Linked DNA regions of Notamacropus eugenii. The protein of the gene in region 1 purifies or fractionates together with the protein of each later gene. This does not show direct contact. Links are inferred from orthologs where the notes say so. Each region holds a gene or a part of one and is shown in the gene's direction. Other genes may lie near its edges.

The links.
Region 2: the proteins of MAP3K14 (region 1) and CAD purify together in Homo sapiens (affinity purification with mass spectrometry; 3 studies listed by BioGRID and IntAct, with this or other methods). This does not show direct contact. The link is inferred for Notamacropus eugenii from reciprocal best matches to the Homo sapiens genes MAP3K14 and CAD.

The regions. Positions count from the first base shown.
Region 1 is NC_092873.1:348,496,315-348,503,701, forward strand, and holds the start of MAP3K14 (mitogen-activated protein kinase kinase kinase 14), read left to right. Parts: upstream 1-4,377; 5' UTR 4,378-4,400; intron 4,401-4,473; exon of another isoform or gene 4,474-4,852; intron 4,853-4,964; exon of another isoform or gene 4,965-5,072; intron 5,073-7,387.
Region 2 is NC_092872.1:528,464,456-528,471,478, forward strand, and holds the start of CAD (multifunctional protein CAD), read left to right. Parts: upstream 1-4,021; 5' UTR 4,022-4,371; coding exon 4,372-4,453; intron 4,454-4,593; coding exon 4,594-4,733; intron 4,734-7,023. Other genes in the region: ATRAID (all-trans retinoic acid-induced differentiation factor), read left to right, coding at 1,987-2,058, 2,820-2,891, 2,973-3,094, 3,369-3,466, 3,639-3,743. UniProt on the Homo sapiens protein: Multifunctional protein that encodes the first 3 enzymatic activities of the de novo pyrimidine pathway: carbamoylphosphate synthetase (CPSase; EC 6.3.5.5), aspartate transcarbamylase (ATCase; EC 2.1.3.2) and dihydroorotase (DHOase; EC 3.5.2.3).

The DNA.
Region 1 (7,387 bases):
TACTGTCAAGGGCAGCACCATCCTAGTCATCATTAACTGCTTCATACTTCTATCTCTCTCATCCTACATACCCAATGTAGTGCCAAGCCTTGTTTCTACCTCCACAATCTTTCTCATATATACCCCCAAAACAGAAACAATTGCTATTTACCTTCACTCTGAGCCAATCAGGGCCCAAACAACGACCAAGTGGGATTTGGCCTGGAACCTATTATTGGCCAATCAATGAGAATCAGAGTAATTTAGGTTTAAGACATGGTCCTTAAGAGAGAAATCTAGCCCATAAATCCCAAGATATCTTGAGAGCTTTTAGGGATTAAAGTTTACATTCCTTTAGGCACAGTACCTGAAGTTAAGTATATGGTACCCTATGTGGAGAGAGGTAAGGGAAGGGAAGGAAGGAAGGAATGAAAGAAAGGACCTGTGTTGCCCAACTGGCCAGTTCCAGTTGGATTCTCCAGTGGGGCAGATCCTACTGCTACTACTTGTGATTTGTCCTTCATTCTCAAAGAGGACCATGACATCAAGGAGATGATACCATGACATGCAAGTAAATTGGATTTAAGTGAGGGAGGGCTATGCAAAGTCACCAGCCTCACTTTCTCCTCCAGAACTATCTGGATCCAGTGGTAAGGTATAAAAATCAGTCTGGAGATGGCCACAGATGCAGCAGGAGACCTTGACCTTTTTAAGTTAAGGTCTTTCCCAGGTCTTGGCTGACTGAGACAATACCCATTCAGTGATGAAGGATAGGTAAGAAATGAGACAAAGAGTGGTCTCTTTTACCTAGTCAAAAAAAATCAATCTGACAGGGGAAGACCCTCAGGGTTTCTGGCCAAAACTGAAACAATTTCTATTTACACTCACTCTGAGCCATTAGAATCCAAATAATGATCAAATGAGGCTTAGGTTAAGACCTGTTGTTGGCCAATCAATGAGAGCCAGAGTGATCTGAGTTTAAGGCATGGTCCTTAAAAGAAATCTAGCCCGTAAGCCCCAAGATGTCTTGCGAAATTTCATTGATCAAAATTCATGTTCCTTTGGGCAGAGCACCTGTAGGTAAGAGTGTGATTCTCTATGTGAATAGAAGGAGAGAAGAGAGGAAGACAAAGAGAGAAGGAGGGAGGGAGGGAGGGAGGAAAAGAAGGAAGGAACGAAGGAAGGAAGGAAAAAGCTGCATTGCCCAACTGAAACTGGCCAGCCCAGTGGGGCAGCTACTACCTACACACACAGGTTGTTGTTCCTCCTTCATTCTTGAAGAGGACCAGTGACATCAGGAAGGTGATAATATTACTTACAAATGAATTGAATTTAAGCAAGGGAGGGCTGTGCAAAGTCACCGACTTCACTCTCTTCTCCAGAACCATCTAGGTCCAGTGGCAAGATTTGGATAAAGACAACTAGGGATGGCCTCCCATCACGGCATCTAAATTCAAGTTTTTTAACCCCAAATCCTGTACTCTTTCCATTCTGCTACACTCTGTTTCAACTGGCATCCAGTCATCGAGGAGGCAAAGGGACAGACAAAAACTCATATGGCCTAGGTCACTCATCTACACGGTTTTACTTGAGGGGTCTCTGAGATCATATTTGACCAAAATATCTTTCTCTCTAGAATCTAGACTCCTAACTTTACATGCTGCATCCCATTGTAAGAAGCCTTTATGTAGCTAACACATTGAACAAAAAAGTCAGGATCTAAAAGATGTCAGCAGGCTAGAATCAAATCATTTGAATTTTGTAGCAATAAATGCTACATATATTTGGGTTCAAAAATTCATCTGTACAGCTACGGGATGGGGAAAGTATATCTGGAAAACAGTTCCTATGAAAAATATATGGATTATGCTGCTAAGAAATGATGAAGAGAATGGCTTCAGAGAAACTCAGAGAAACTCAAATGAACTGAAGCAGAATGAGAAAAACAGAACCAAGAGAGCAAGTTATACAATAACAGCCATATTATAAAGACAAATAACTTTGAAAGACTTAGAACCTCTGACCAACTCAATGACCGACCACAATTCTAGAGCATTCATGATGAATCATATTACCCACATCCATATAGGGAGGTGATGGACTCAAGAGACAGAGTGATTCTTTGCCTCTTTCTTTCAGACACGGTCAATTCAGGAATTTGGGTTTGGTTTTTTTTACTATATATGTTTGTAATAGAGATCTTATTTTTCTTGCCTTCTCAATCAGTGGTGAGGTAGAAGAGAAAGAATGTAGCTCTACAAATAAAGTTTAATACGTTTTTTAAAAAGAAAAATATCAGTGATTTTAGAGGACTACAAGTAGTCAACAACAGAATATGTTACCCTATAAGACTCACAAGATCTTAGACTAAATTCAGTAATCGAAACAAAGAAGGTGACAGTCCTAACCAGACCACATCTGGAGTAATGTGTTCACTTCTGGGCAATACATTTTAGGAAGACAGGGTGTGTAAAGTGAAGGATGATTAGAATGTTGAAAGACGTCTAGAGATCATGTTATATTATGAACAGTTGAAGGAACTGGGGATGATTAGCCTGGAGAAGAGAAGACTAAAAAAAAACCATGACAGCTGTTTTGAAGTATTTGGAAGGCTGTCTTGTAGAAGAGGGACTAGATTTGTTCTGTTTGGCCTCAAAGGGCAGAATTACGAGTAATCATGGATGTTGTTGAAAAGCAGAGTTGAACTCCACAAATGGAAAATTTTTTCTCAAAATTAGATCTACCTTCAGAAGGATCTGTCTTCAGGAGTTCAAATTTGATCTCAGACACTTACTAGCTGTGTGATCCTGGATAAGTCAATTGCCTCCCCCCACATTCCCCCCTCAAAAAAAAAAATTAGATCTGTCCAAAAGCAAGATAGGCTGCATGAGTGATGACTCAAAGTCTTCCAGCAGAGCCTGGCTGATGTCATCGAAGTTTTTACCAACTAGACCTGTGATTCTGTGAAGAATTGTTACTTGTCAGGTTTTACAGGATGGATAGATAGGAATTCAGCAGGTGAAAAGAGGGAGACATTTTGAACATTAGGAAAAAGTCTTAAGTAAAGTCACGGTGTGATTGACTGTATGGTAGAGTACTTGCAGCAGAGCTATAAGAAATAAGGCTGGAAACATAGTGTATCATGATTACCGGGGACCTTGAATGCCAAGTAAAGGATTTTGAATTTTCCTAGAGATTTTTGAGCAGAGGAATGACATGGTCATATCTCTTTACATAAGGAAGAGTATTCTGGTATGTGAAGGATAGATTAGATGGGAAAAGGTGGACTGGAATATCCAGTAGGAATTAATGTAATAGTTCAAGTGGGTGGTAATAGGAATCTGGACTAGGATGGTAGCAGTGGAGACGGAGAGCCCAAGAGATTCTGCCATAGTATCAGACATTTGGGGCATGAAGGGGCCTGAGAGATCATCTAGTCTAATCTCATTTTACAGACTTAGATCCAGAAAACAGCCCTCTTTTCACTGTATTACACAGTAAAGTCTAAAGTGCTATATTAAATATGAGGGGTTTTTTTGGTCTAGATTTATGATCTCATTCATGTGAGGAAACTCCCTCTCACCATTGCAGACTGCCCACTGATGTGCAGTTACAGTCTGAGCGAGTTGCTTGGGGACCTTAAAGGGTTAAATGATTCGTCTGAGACCACATAGCCTACAAGTCAGAAGCAAGATCTGACTCCGAGTCTTCCTGACTCCGCAGCCCCGTTACCAACACCACTCTGAGTCCAAATCTAAGTTGTCATTATTCACCAGCTGGTGAAATGGGTTGCCCTGAGCCATCTGCAGCATCCTCAGATTCTGCTTGTGACCAAGACCAGGCAGCGGAATAAACTTAGGGCTGCTGTTAGGTCAGTTGTCCTTGGGGTACAATAAAAAGGCTTAAGATGGTATAAAGCTAAAGAATAATAGCTAGCACTTGTAAAGTGGCTTTAAGAGGAAACTTGAAGAGGCTGGCTGTAAGCCAGGAAGTGTGCGAGGTCAGATTTGAACCTGTCTTTCTGACTAGAGGTCTGCTACTCTATCCACTGTCCCTGGTGGCTGCCTCTTCAACCAGCACTTATTAAACACCTTCTGCTTGCCTGAGAGGCGCCGTGATAGTGGGCAGAAGGCGGATCAGGGTCAGGAGGAGCTAAGTCCAAATTCTGTCTCTGACCTTTGTCAGCTCTGGGACTCTTGACAAGTCCCTCACGACCTCGGATTTCCTATTTTACAATGAGGACTTTGGACCAGACGGCCTCCTTCAGCCCTAAGTCTCTGACCCTGTGTCTGGCGCTGTTAGTAATACTCGCCCGAACGCTAGGATTCGAACTTTCCAGCTGGGAATGTGATTCCCCTTTTACAGATGAGGAAACCGAGGCACGGAGCGGTTACGGTGAGCGGCGCGGGCTCCCGCGGCTAGTAAGTAGCACAATTGGGATTCAAACTGTATTTCTCCAATGGTCAATCTAGCACGTTTTCTATTAAACACTACCGGCTTCTGCGGGTTTGGGAGGAAAAGAGAGGAGACACCTCCTCCTCCTCCTCCTTGTGAACAGGTTCGTCTCCAAGGCAACCAAAGCCCACGCATGCGCACGGTCACTCTTCCTTCCCGTAACCCCCGGAAAGCATCCGGTAAAGACTGGCGCATGTGCAGTTTCTACCCGCTGCAGCTGCCCCAGCCTGGTCCGGGCCTCCAGCAGCCGCCGCCGCCGCCCCCACCTCTAGTCTGGCTCAGGATCTCTCGGCCTTGGCAAGCACTGAGCGGAAATAACGCCCATTTCTGATAGGTCACGTTCTCACCAATCACCGCTCCCAGGAGGCGGAGCGACTCGGAGGGGGCGGGCCATTGAGCTCGCAAGTTGGGGTTTGCTCAGGGCCCCGCCCCGAAAGTCAAAAGTCGAGTGGAACGCGGGGAAGGAGCCGCGCGCGGCGAGTGGCGGTGGAGGGGCGGGGCCCGAGGCCGACTCGGCTGGAGCCTGGGGGCGGGGCCGGGCGGGTGCCCAGAGCCGTCAAGTGAGGGGATCGAAGCCGAGCGGCAGCGGCCACGGCGGCAGCGGAAGAAGACGAGAGAGCGGCGCTCGGGGCCGGCAGGTAGGCGGGCTGGCGCGCTGACCCCGGGGCAGGGAGAGTCGGGCCCCCTGGGCGTCGGGGCGCGGATCTCCGCTGGAGCGCCGGCCCTTCTCGGGGATCCTGGGCAGCGAGGCCCTCCAAGCTGCCTGTTCCACGCCCCGGCGCCCGCGCCCGGCCCCGTCCCTCAGCCTCGGGGTCCACATCTGGCGGGGGACCTGCCCTTCGCCCGGGGCCACCCCCTCTTCTCACCGCCTCCTCGGACCACTCAGCCCCCCTAAGTGGGGGTGTCCGCAGACGTGCCCTCGCTGCTCCCCGGCCGCTTGTCTGTGGAACGTGGGCCAGCCCCCTTAGCCGTTCCCAGCCCGCCAGGTCACCCTGCTTCGTAAAGCGAGGTGGGCCCCCTTCCTTCGTAAACCGAGGCGTGTGAGTTGTTGGCAGTCTGAGAGCCCACCTGACACCCTTTGGCCGTTCCTGCCCAAGCCCACGCGTCTCACCGCCCTAGCATCCTCCCTCCAGAGCTCCGTCCGTGCGGGACCCTGGTCCTGGAGCCTGGAAAGCCCACGTCGGGAAAGCTTCGCGGATTCCTCCCCGGGCCGCCCAGCCGAGGCTCTCTGTACGGGGCGCTCGGCCGGCGCAGTCTTCCCTTTCCCGTCTCTCCCACTCTTAAGTCGAGGGGCATGGCTACACGTTACTACCCAGCTAGAGACGTTCTCGTCCCCGGGTAGCGATTCCTGGTGGGCTTCGGCATCCCCAGTAATCAGAAACCTCAGAAAAGTGCTTCCCCCTACGGGGGGTAAAAGAATACTCTCAGTCCTGAGTAGCAAAGGAATAAATGAGAGGGAGGGGGCAAACGGAGCGAAGGGAAAGGAGTAAGGACTCTCCTAAGGGTCGTCTATTGACAGTCAAAATGTAAACAAAGAATCCGGTTCTTTAAACGCGCGTTCATCCAGAGCCTACCGCGGGTCAGACGCTGCCCTAGGCCCTGGGGATACAACGGAGATCGAGAGAGCTTGTAAAACATCCTGATGATTTAACAACTCGTGTGAATGCAAATGAAATGTAGTGCGGTAGCGCAGAGGGCCCCTGGAGCCATCGACACTGTCACTTTAATGGTTATTTCAGTGGAGATTCACAACCTCTTGTCTAGAGCTGGGTCTTTCAGAAAAAACTTGCTCTAATTCTGTTCTGTTCTTGCTCTATTCTACCCCATTATAAGCTTCTTAAGGGCAGGGACATAATTTTAATAATTTTATCATGATAGTTTTTGTTTTATTTTATTTTGAAGGTAACGTAAGCCTGCAGAGTGCTTTGCATTTTAATTCAACAAGCATTTATTAATCACTTGTTATCATACGAGGAACTGTGCTAGACTGGGGATCCAGAAACAAAGATAGATGGCCTCTGTAAGCCCTCAAAGAACTTAACGTTGTAACCAGTAAGCCCTTAGTAAATATCTTTGTTGAATTGAGCTTTTCTAAGAGTTTTCATATTGATCTTATCTTGTCTTTATAACTTCTCAATGAGAAAGGTAAGACAGAAAGAAAACTGAACTTTTAAGGTGGCACAGCTCGTTAGTGGCAGAGATAAGATTCCAGAGCACAGGTCTCTTGACTCCTATTTCTAGGATCCATCAACTGCACACAGTTTTGTAGATTTAAAATCTTGGAGTGGAGGAAGAAATGTTTGATTTGGAAATGGGAAATCTTGACATTAAACCCAACTATAGTATACTGTCAGTCAGTTTAGTCATTAAGCACCTACTATGTGCACACTTAAAGAGGGATGCTTGCCTTAATTGAAATGGATTTATTGTTGGTGGGTTGTTTTGTTTTGTTTTGTTTCCCAGAAATCTTACCTTCTGATGTGTTTTTTAAGTAGACCTTAGTTTAGCAAACACCAATTCAGAGGTTCTTTTTTATGTCATGGACCCCTTTGGGCAACCTGATGAAACCTATGGACCCCCCTTTCAGAATAATGTTTATAAATGCATAAAATAAATACATAAGATTACAGAGGAAACCAATTATACTAAAATACAGTTTAAAAAAAATTTTTAAGAAGTTCACTAGACCCCTTCCTGTTTGGATCAACCCATATTATTTTTATCTCAAAGGGGATAATTCTTGAAGTGTTCTCAAAACATAATGAATTGTAATTTCCTTTTTAAAATTAATGTACTTTAAATTTTAAAATTAAGTGCATTAGGTTGCACTTAAAGGAATAAAATGTTGCTTTCATCAAAAAGGCTGGCGATCTCTGCTCTTGATCACACAACTAAATAGGTTTTTAGTTTGTAAGGAGCAATTCTGAAGGACTTTTTAAAGCCTTCAGAAAGA
Region 2 (7,023 bases), on another chromosome or scaffold:
GGAATGGGCTGTGTAATTATATAAAACTATGGGATTTGAAACATCATCTTTCATTCCTAAAATACAAACCTACAAACACATGGTCCTTTTACTTTTCAATCCTTATGCCATTTTGGCTAGGGAATGCCCTATGGACCACCTGTCCCATTTGTCTCTGCATAAAAAAGTATATACTTTTGGCCTAGCTAGATAGTTGTTTAGTGTTTTCAGTCTTGTCTGATTTTGGGTTTTCTTGGCAGAGATACCAAAGTGGTCATTTCCTTCTCCAACTCATTTTACAGATGAGGAAACTGAGGCAAACAAGGTTAAGTGACTTACCAAGGGTCACACAGCTAGAAAGTGTCTGAGGCCAGCTTTGAACTCAGGAAGATGAGTCTTCCTGACTCTAGACCTGCCACTTTATCCACTGTTTCACCCAGCAGTTCTACAGACAATACTTGCTATTAAACTTGTAAAAGTACATTGAAGTAAAAGTACATTGGGTGTGAAGCAAAAAGGACCACATGTTTCAAGTTCAGAAATATATCCTTTGAATGTATTACAAAATGTCTCTGTATTCTTCAACTGAACACAAATCAATAATTGATTTGAGTTCAGTTATATGACTGCATTCCACATTCTATATTTGAAATTGAGCTTTTTTTTTGTTTTATTCAGTGACTGTGTTAACTGTTTTGATCTATAAACGTTTTTTACATCTTTCCTCTGCTCCTAAAATAATTTATTTTAAAAATTTCAATAACAGTTCCTTTCTCTAGAGTACCAATAAATGTACTTTTTTTTTTAAAAGACAAAATACTGTTACATGTATATCTCCAATTACCTGCTAAACTTTTCATGGAATTGTTTCAAATGCAAAGTCTAAAGGTGTCCTTCTAATTATTTTGACTCCTCCCTCCACTTTGCCCCCAGTAAGTCACCAAGTCCATTCGGCCTTCATTCTGTCTCTCTTATCTGTTTCAGTCTATTACTCTTCATTCCCTTTGGCATCATCATAATCTAGCCTTGAATGCATGTATCTTTATTGTCACCTAATTGGTCTTCCCTTCAGTCTTTCTATCCTCTGACTTGTTTATTTTGTTGCCAGGGCAACTTTGAGATTTCATATGCCAACACAATAAAGCATAAACTCTCAAGCGTGGCATTCTGGACACAAGCTTTCTTTCTAACAGTTGCTCTGTGGTATGAATGTGGCTGTAGCCAGATTCACTGATTCCCAAGCACATTCATTGCTTATGCTTTTCTTTCTTTCCATGATATTGTCCATACTTTTCTATACCCATCCTAGCCAGTCTTATCTCTCTCATGAAGCCTTCAGTGATCATTCTAGCCCATCCTGATCCCTTTCTCTGATCTTCTGTAGCTTTGTAACACATGATATCTGATGCTTCCTTGTGACATTGTTATATTTTCTTAAACTCCCACGTAATTTTTGTAATTGTTTTTTGTGTCTTGTTCTTGTCCTCTCCCTCCAATAAGTTGCAAGCTCCTTGAGATCAGGGTTCTTTGTTTACATCTGCCAGTGTAATAGTGCATAGTACTATTACATAGTATATATTTGTTGAATAAATATAAGAGATACTGAGGGAAAAACAAGACTAGAGCATAGTCTCAGACCCTGAGGATTTTGCAGTTTAGTGGATATTCACATCTGTACTTGAGAAAAAACAAAAACTTACATTTTTATATAACTTGCATTTTGTACCATCCTGTAATGAGTCACCAATGATCTGGTGACAGATTTGAGACACTTTTTCTAGATAAGAAGCACAGAGCCCTCTCCTTACTTCCTAATAGGCACAAATATTCTGACAGGTTGGTCTCAGACAGGTAAAGATTAATATGGAGCACAGCTGGTTTGCAATAAATGATGGCTAACTAGAAAAGGAGACAAAAAGACAGGTGTCAAAATAGTTCTGCTGATGGGAAAAAAAGTCGTGGATAGGGCAAAAAGGACAGGATTGCACTGACTTTCTCTTCTTTTAGACTAGATCTTCAGAATTGTTCCCTGAAAGAACTGGACCCACTCTTTGCTGAGGCACATTCTGCCATTGTTCTGTAAGTGCTCTCAGGGGCCTTCCTCCCAGAAGACATAAGTGTAGAGGGGTACAGAGCTGGGTAACTAGGGACGGAGCCCTTCTGAGAGAAATGTGGGGGTCCTTCAATCTGGACAGTCCAGGATGGGCAATGGGTGCTAAGAGAAATAGAAGTGTATGACAATTAAAAAGATTTGGAAGACATGGTTTTGGGGTAATTTATTCATTTTTTTTTAATAAGGCCAGCAGTTTATTAAGAAAAGTTTGGTCATTTGGCAGTCTTTCTTAGATCAAAGACTCCTAATGGCTGCGGGGTCACAGTTTATATGCCTTTTGAAGTTTCCTGAGGGGTTCCTAATCACCTCTGATTGGTTAACACAGTGAGAGGTGGGCTGTCTTGGGCTGTGTGACTTAGGTCACTCATAACTTGGTGAAAGAGACATCAATTTCCATATCAACTGTCTTGATTGTAGGGAGAATCAACATTTTCCCAGGCCTGTCTAACAAACACAGTAAGCAGGGATATACCCATTAGCTTCACTTAGAAATTTCTTTCTTAAAGAATTTTTTTACTGTCTAATTAGATCTTGACCTGGGTAAATCTCTAAGAGAGACTTCCCACACTGGTTGATTTCTGGATGAGGAAGTAGAAAAGGGGAAAACCTTGGTCCTAACACAATAATTAATTCTTAAATATAAGAGAGAAATATTAATTTCACACAAATGGAATCAGGGAGCTTCTCTAGGTAAGGCATAGTAACAGTGGGTATTTTTGATTTGCAGGGACCTACAAGCAAACCCTCTCCTGAATATATCTACCTCAGTCTTTCGTAACTTCACAGAGCTCCAGACGCTGTGAGTAGAATGAGGTAGGAAACATATAATGAGATCAGCAACATCTGATTGCATGGCATGACAATTGTATGTTATGTTCAGGGTACTGCCACTGAAAGTTGACTGTCCTGGAGGATATTATGCCTGGGAAAATATCACCTGTGGCACCGACAGCTGTACCTGCTACAAGCAAAGAAATCAGTGCAATAACACTGTGGAATCAGGTATGACTTTTGACTTCTTTCCTTCTAGAAACTGCCTAACTTCCCTTACTCTGCCCTTTGAAAAAGGGAAAGTAACCCCCAACTGTGATTAGCACCCATGTTTTCAAGATCCTCACCCCATGTAGGTAAAGGACATAATCAGTCTCATCCTTTCTATCCTTGCTCCTGACCTGGAAAGCACTTTGAAGGATTTAGGGTTGGAGCAGAAGTATGCGTAGCCTTGACTACCTAATGAATCTGTTGTTAATGTACAATAGTTTCTCTCCTGCTGCAGCTTTGTGCCCAGAGAATGCATATTGCGTCCCTGATGGCCCAGGCCTCTTCCAGTGTCTTTGTACTAGTGGCTTCCATGGCTACAAGTGTCTTCGTGAGGTGAAAAGTGGGGAAATGAACCAGCTTGGAATGAGATGTGGGAAGTGGGTTTGGGACTTGCAGTCATTTGGAATCAAACTGCATGAAGAGGAAGCCTCTTAGGTGGAGGGGGAATGACAAAATTTACATTTCTGTCTGCTGACACTTGTTCCTCATGGCATGTTACTTACAGGGCTCTTTCCCTCTCCTCATGTTCTCTGGAGTGCTGGGCACTACCACATTTTGCATCTCCATCTTGCTCTGGGGAACCCAGCTTCGAAAAATCAAAGCCTCTTGAATCAAGTTTTCCTTCGGACCTACAAATCGAAGAAGCTCTTAGGTGGGCGCAGCCTGGGAGTTTCCTTGCGCAGCTCAGGCCTTGGCCTAGAGTGCAGAGAAGTAGGGGGTGGAGAGAGCTGGGATCCACTGGTGGTCTGGTGGCTGCTAGACCAGGCTTGAAGTCAGAAGTGTTTGTAAGGTTTGCCCCTAATAAAATCCCCCCTTTTAAAGAAAGTGCTCTGTGTGTGCGTGTGCGTGTGTCTCTGGGCTGCACTGCGTGAGGCTGCAGTAAGAAAATGACTCCCAATTCTTGCAAAAGCCCAAAGGAGGCCCGCGAGTCCCCGGCGAGTTAACCTCGGACCATCTCTTCCCCGGACTTACAGATTCGGTGACGTCACGGCACATCACCTGGCCACGCCTCCTTTGCGTCCGCTCGGCTCCGCCCCTGACGTGGTTCGGCGGCGCCGTCTCAGCCGCAGCTCCCGCCACCCGGGAGCGAGGCGAGGATCCTAGACCGGCTCTGCCGCCTCCGCCGCCGCGGGCCACGTGGACGGGCCGCCGCGCCACCGCGTTTCGCTGCTCCGCTCCGCACGTGGGCCCCGCCAGGCTGCCATCTGCGCCCTCCCAGGGGGCACGGCTCCGGTTCCATGGCGGCGCTGGTGTTGGAGGACGGGTCGGTGCTGCGGGGCCAGCCCTTTGGCGCGGCCATATGCGCCGCGGGGGAAGTGGGTAAGCCCTCCAGCTCAGGCTTCCTAGGCCCTCTCCCTCCCTCGACCCCGGGCGGGACCCGCTACCCTCCCCAGGTTGGTGCCCTGGCCAGTTCCCCCGAGCCAGGTGGCTGAAAGCTGCCCCCGCCTGTCTTCCCGCAGTGTTCCAGACTGGCATGGTGGGCTACCCGGAGGCCCTCACCGACCCCTCCTACAAAGCCCAGATTCTGGTCCTGACTTATCCGCTCGTGGGCAACTATGGCATCCCCCCCGACGAGGAGGACGAGTTCAGCCTCAGCCAGGTACAGGGGCCTCTCCCTCTTTCCCGCCCAAGCCTCTCTGCTTGCCCCTGCTATCACCTTTTGCGGAGAGCATGTTGCAGTTTTACCTGGGAAGGGTTCCGATGTGGTGGTCCCCTAGTTATCTTCGTTCCACAGCTCCGACTGGTAGGAAGGACGATCTAGAGAGAAAGGGTTTGTCCCCTTCACGGCTGCCCACCCCCATACACGTGTACACATGATTTCTACTCCCCTCTGGTCAGTTAGCAAGCATTTATTGAGTTCCTTCCATGTACTGTTGGAAGGAGACCAGCAGGAGCCCCGAATCAGGAGCCCCAAGGACTCCGAGGCATCTGTAACTTGGTGACCCAACCGGGATGCTGCTGATAAGGACCGTAGGAATGTATCTGCACGGTCTGCATTCTTCACTTGAACCTATCTTAAAGAATGTTGCCACGCCCATCTTGACTTAAAATATTTGTAGATTGCCTATGAATATGATACTTGCTGGTGCTCCCTGAGGGAAGGAAGGAATGGGAAGATGATTCACTTAACCATGCCTGGCTTTTGTGTAGTACTTTTTAGTCTGAAAAAGAATTTCATTTGATCCTCATGATATTGCCATGAGGTTGGCTATTGTACAGATAAGAAAATATAGTCTGAAATATTGTCATTTGTTCAAAGGCACATAGCCAATCAGGTCTGCTGGCTCCAGATTCAGGCTTCTTCCCATCATATCTTGGAGCTGAGATATAACTTTGACTTCTGGAAGCTAGCTTTGTTGATGTAGGTCCCAGGGAGGTCTAAACCAGGGCTCCTCACACCTGGCTTCTGCTGGCTGCTCTTGCCATTGGGCTGTCCTCATCCTCATCTACCCTCATGGCAGTCTGCTCCACATTTACCATATCCTCCCAGGTCTGGCAACTTGATGAGTTCCTGGCCCCTAACTCTTTTACATTCTGTCAAACACTTCCCAAATATCCACTGTCACCCTCTTCCCCATATTTACCATTGACCCCACATTCAGATTTTCCCTCTGCCCCCAGCTCCAGTTTAGTGGATTGTCCTGCCTTCTGACCTGGGTCCCTATGAATCTCCACAGTTCTGCCTTTCTGCCCCCAGGATCCTTCCTTGGATGCAGGAACCAAGGCTTTTGACTGACCCCCTTATCTGGACCTGTGACTGTGAGCTGCTCCCTTATCAGATCCTAAACTTTGGCTCCTGGTCTCCAGTTTCCCTTTAGCAATGCTAAGCCCAAGCTTTACCAGAGGGTCCCAGGAGTCCTCTCCATCTTCTAGTTAAACCTCAGGACACAGTCTTCCTGTTTTTCCAGATTCAGTTGCATACCTGAAATATGCTGACACTTAAGTGTTCATGTTCCTTTTACCCAGGCCCCTGCTTCCCTGCACCCTATTCTTCCAGAGCCCTTAGGTTCCCTGCCAGCGGGCTGAATCCCAGACTGGCTTTTGTCTTCCAGCCTCAGAATTCCCCTAGTCATTCCCTGGTGGCTCCATTCAAGAGCTCTCCCCATCCCCAACTGTCTGTCATCTAGATAGTGTGTGTATGTGTATGTGTGTGTGTATGTATGTTACTTGGGGAGAGGGAATGCAGGAAGGGCAGAGTACCAATTGGAGGAAGAGCTCTTGAGATTCCAAAGTTCCTTCTGTCTCTTGGGTCTGTAGGAGGATGGGAGAGAGAAGAGGGTCAAAAGAAAAGAAATAAGAGAGGGGGAGACCATCTTCATTTTTATACCATCCCATCAAAGTAAACTTATATCCTGCTGCCCTGCCCTCTGTGTATACTCCTTCTAACTGCCCCTATGGCCAGAAACTCTGAGGGTCTTCTCCCAGACTTTTTTGTTTTTGACTGAACCCATTCTTTGCCTCTTTTCTTACCTGACCTTAATTACTGAATGGGTGTTGCCTCACAGTCCAGCTGAAACCCAGGAAAGACCTTAGCTTAAAAAGGTCAAAGTCCTCCACAGCATCAGAACTATCTCCAGTTGTCCTGATATATATCTTCCCCTTGGACCCAGATGGCTCAGAAGGAGACAGTGAGGCTGGTGACTTTGCACAGCCTTGCCTCACTTAAATCCAATTCACTCAAAAGTCATGGCATCCCCTTCTGATGACATGGTCCTTTTTGAAAATGAAGGACAAACAACAATCTTCCCACTATACTGGCCTCAAGGAACTTTTTGTAGTAGGGAAGGGCAAAATAAAAATCAATGAGTATAGTGTTTTGAGACTTGTAAAGCATTTTCTATGTAATTCCTAATTTGATTTATAAATAGTCAATATGGGGTGGAATGATT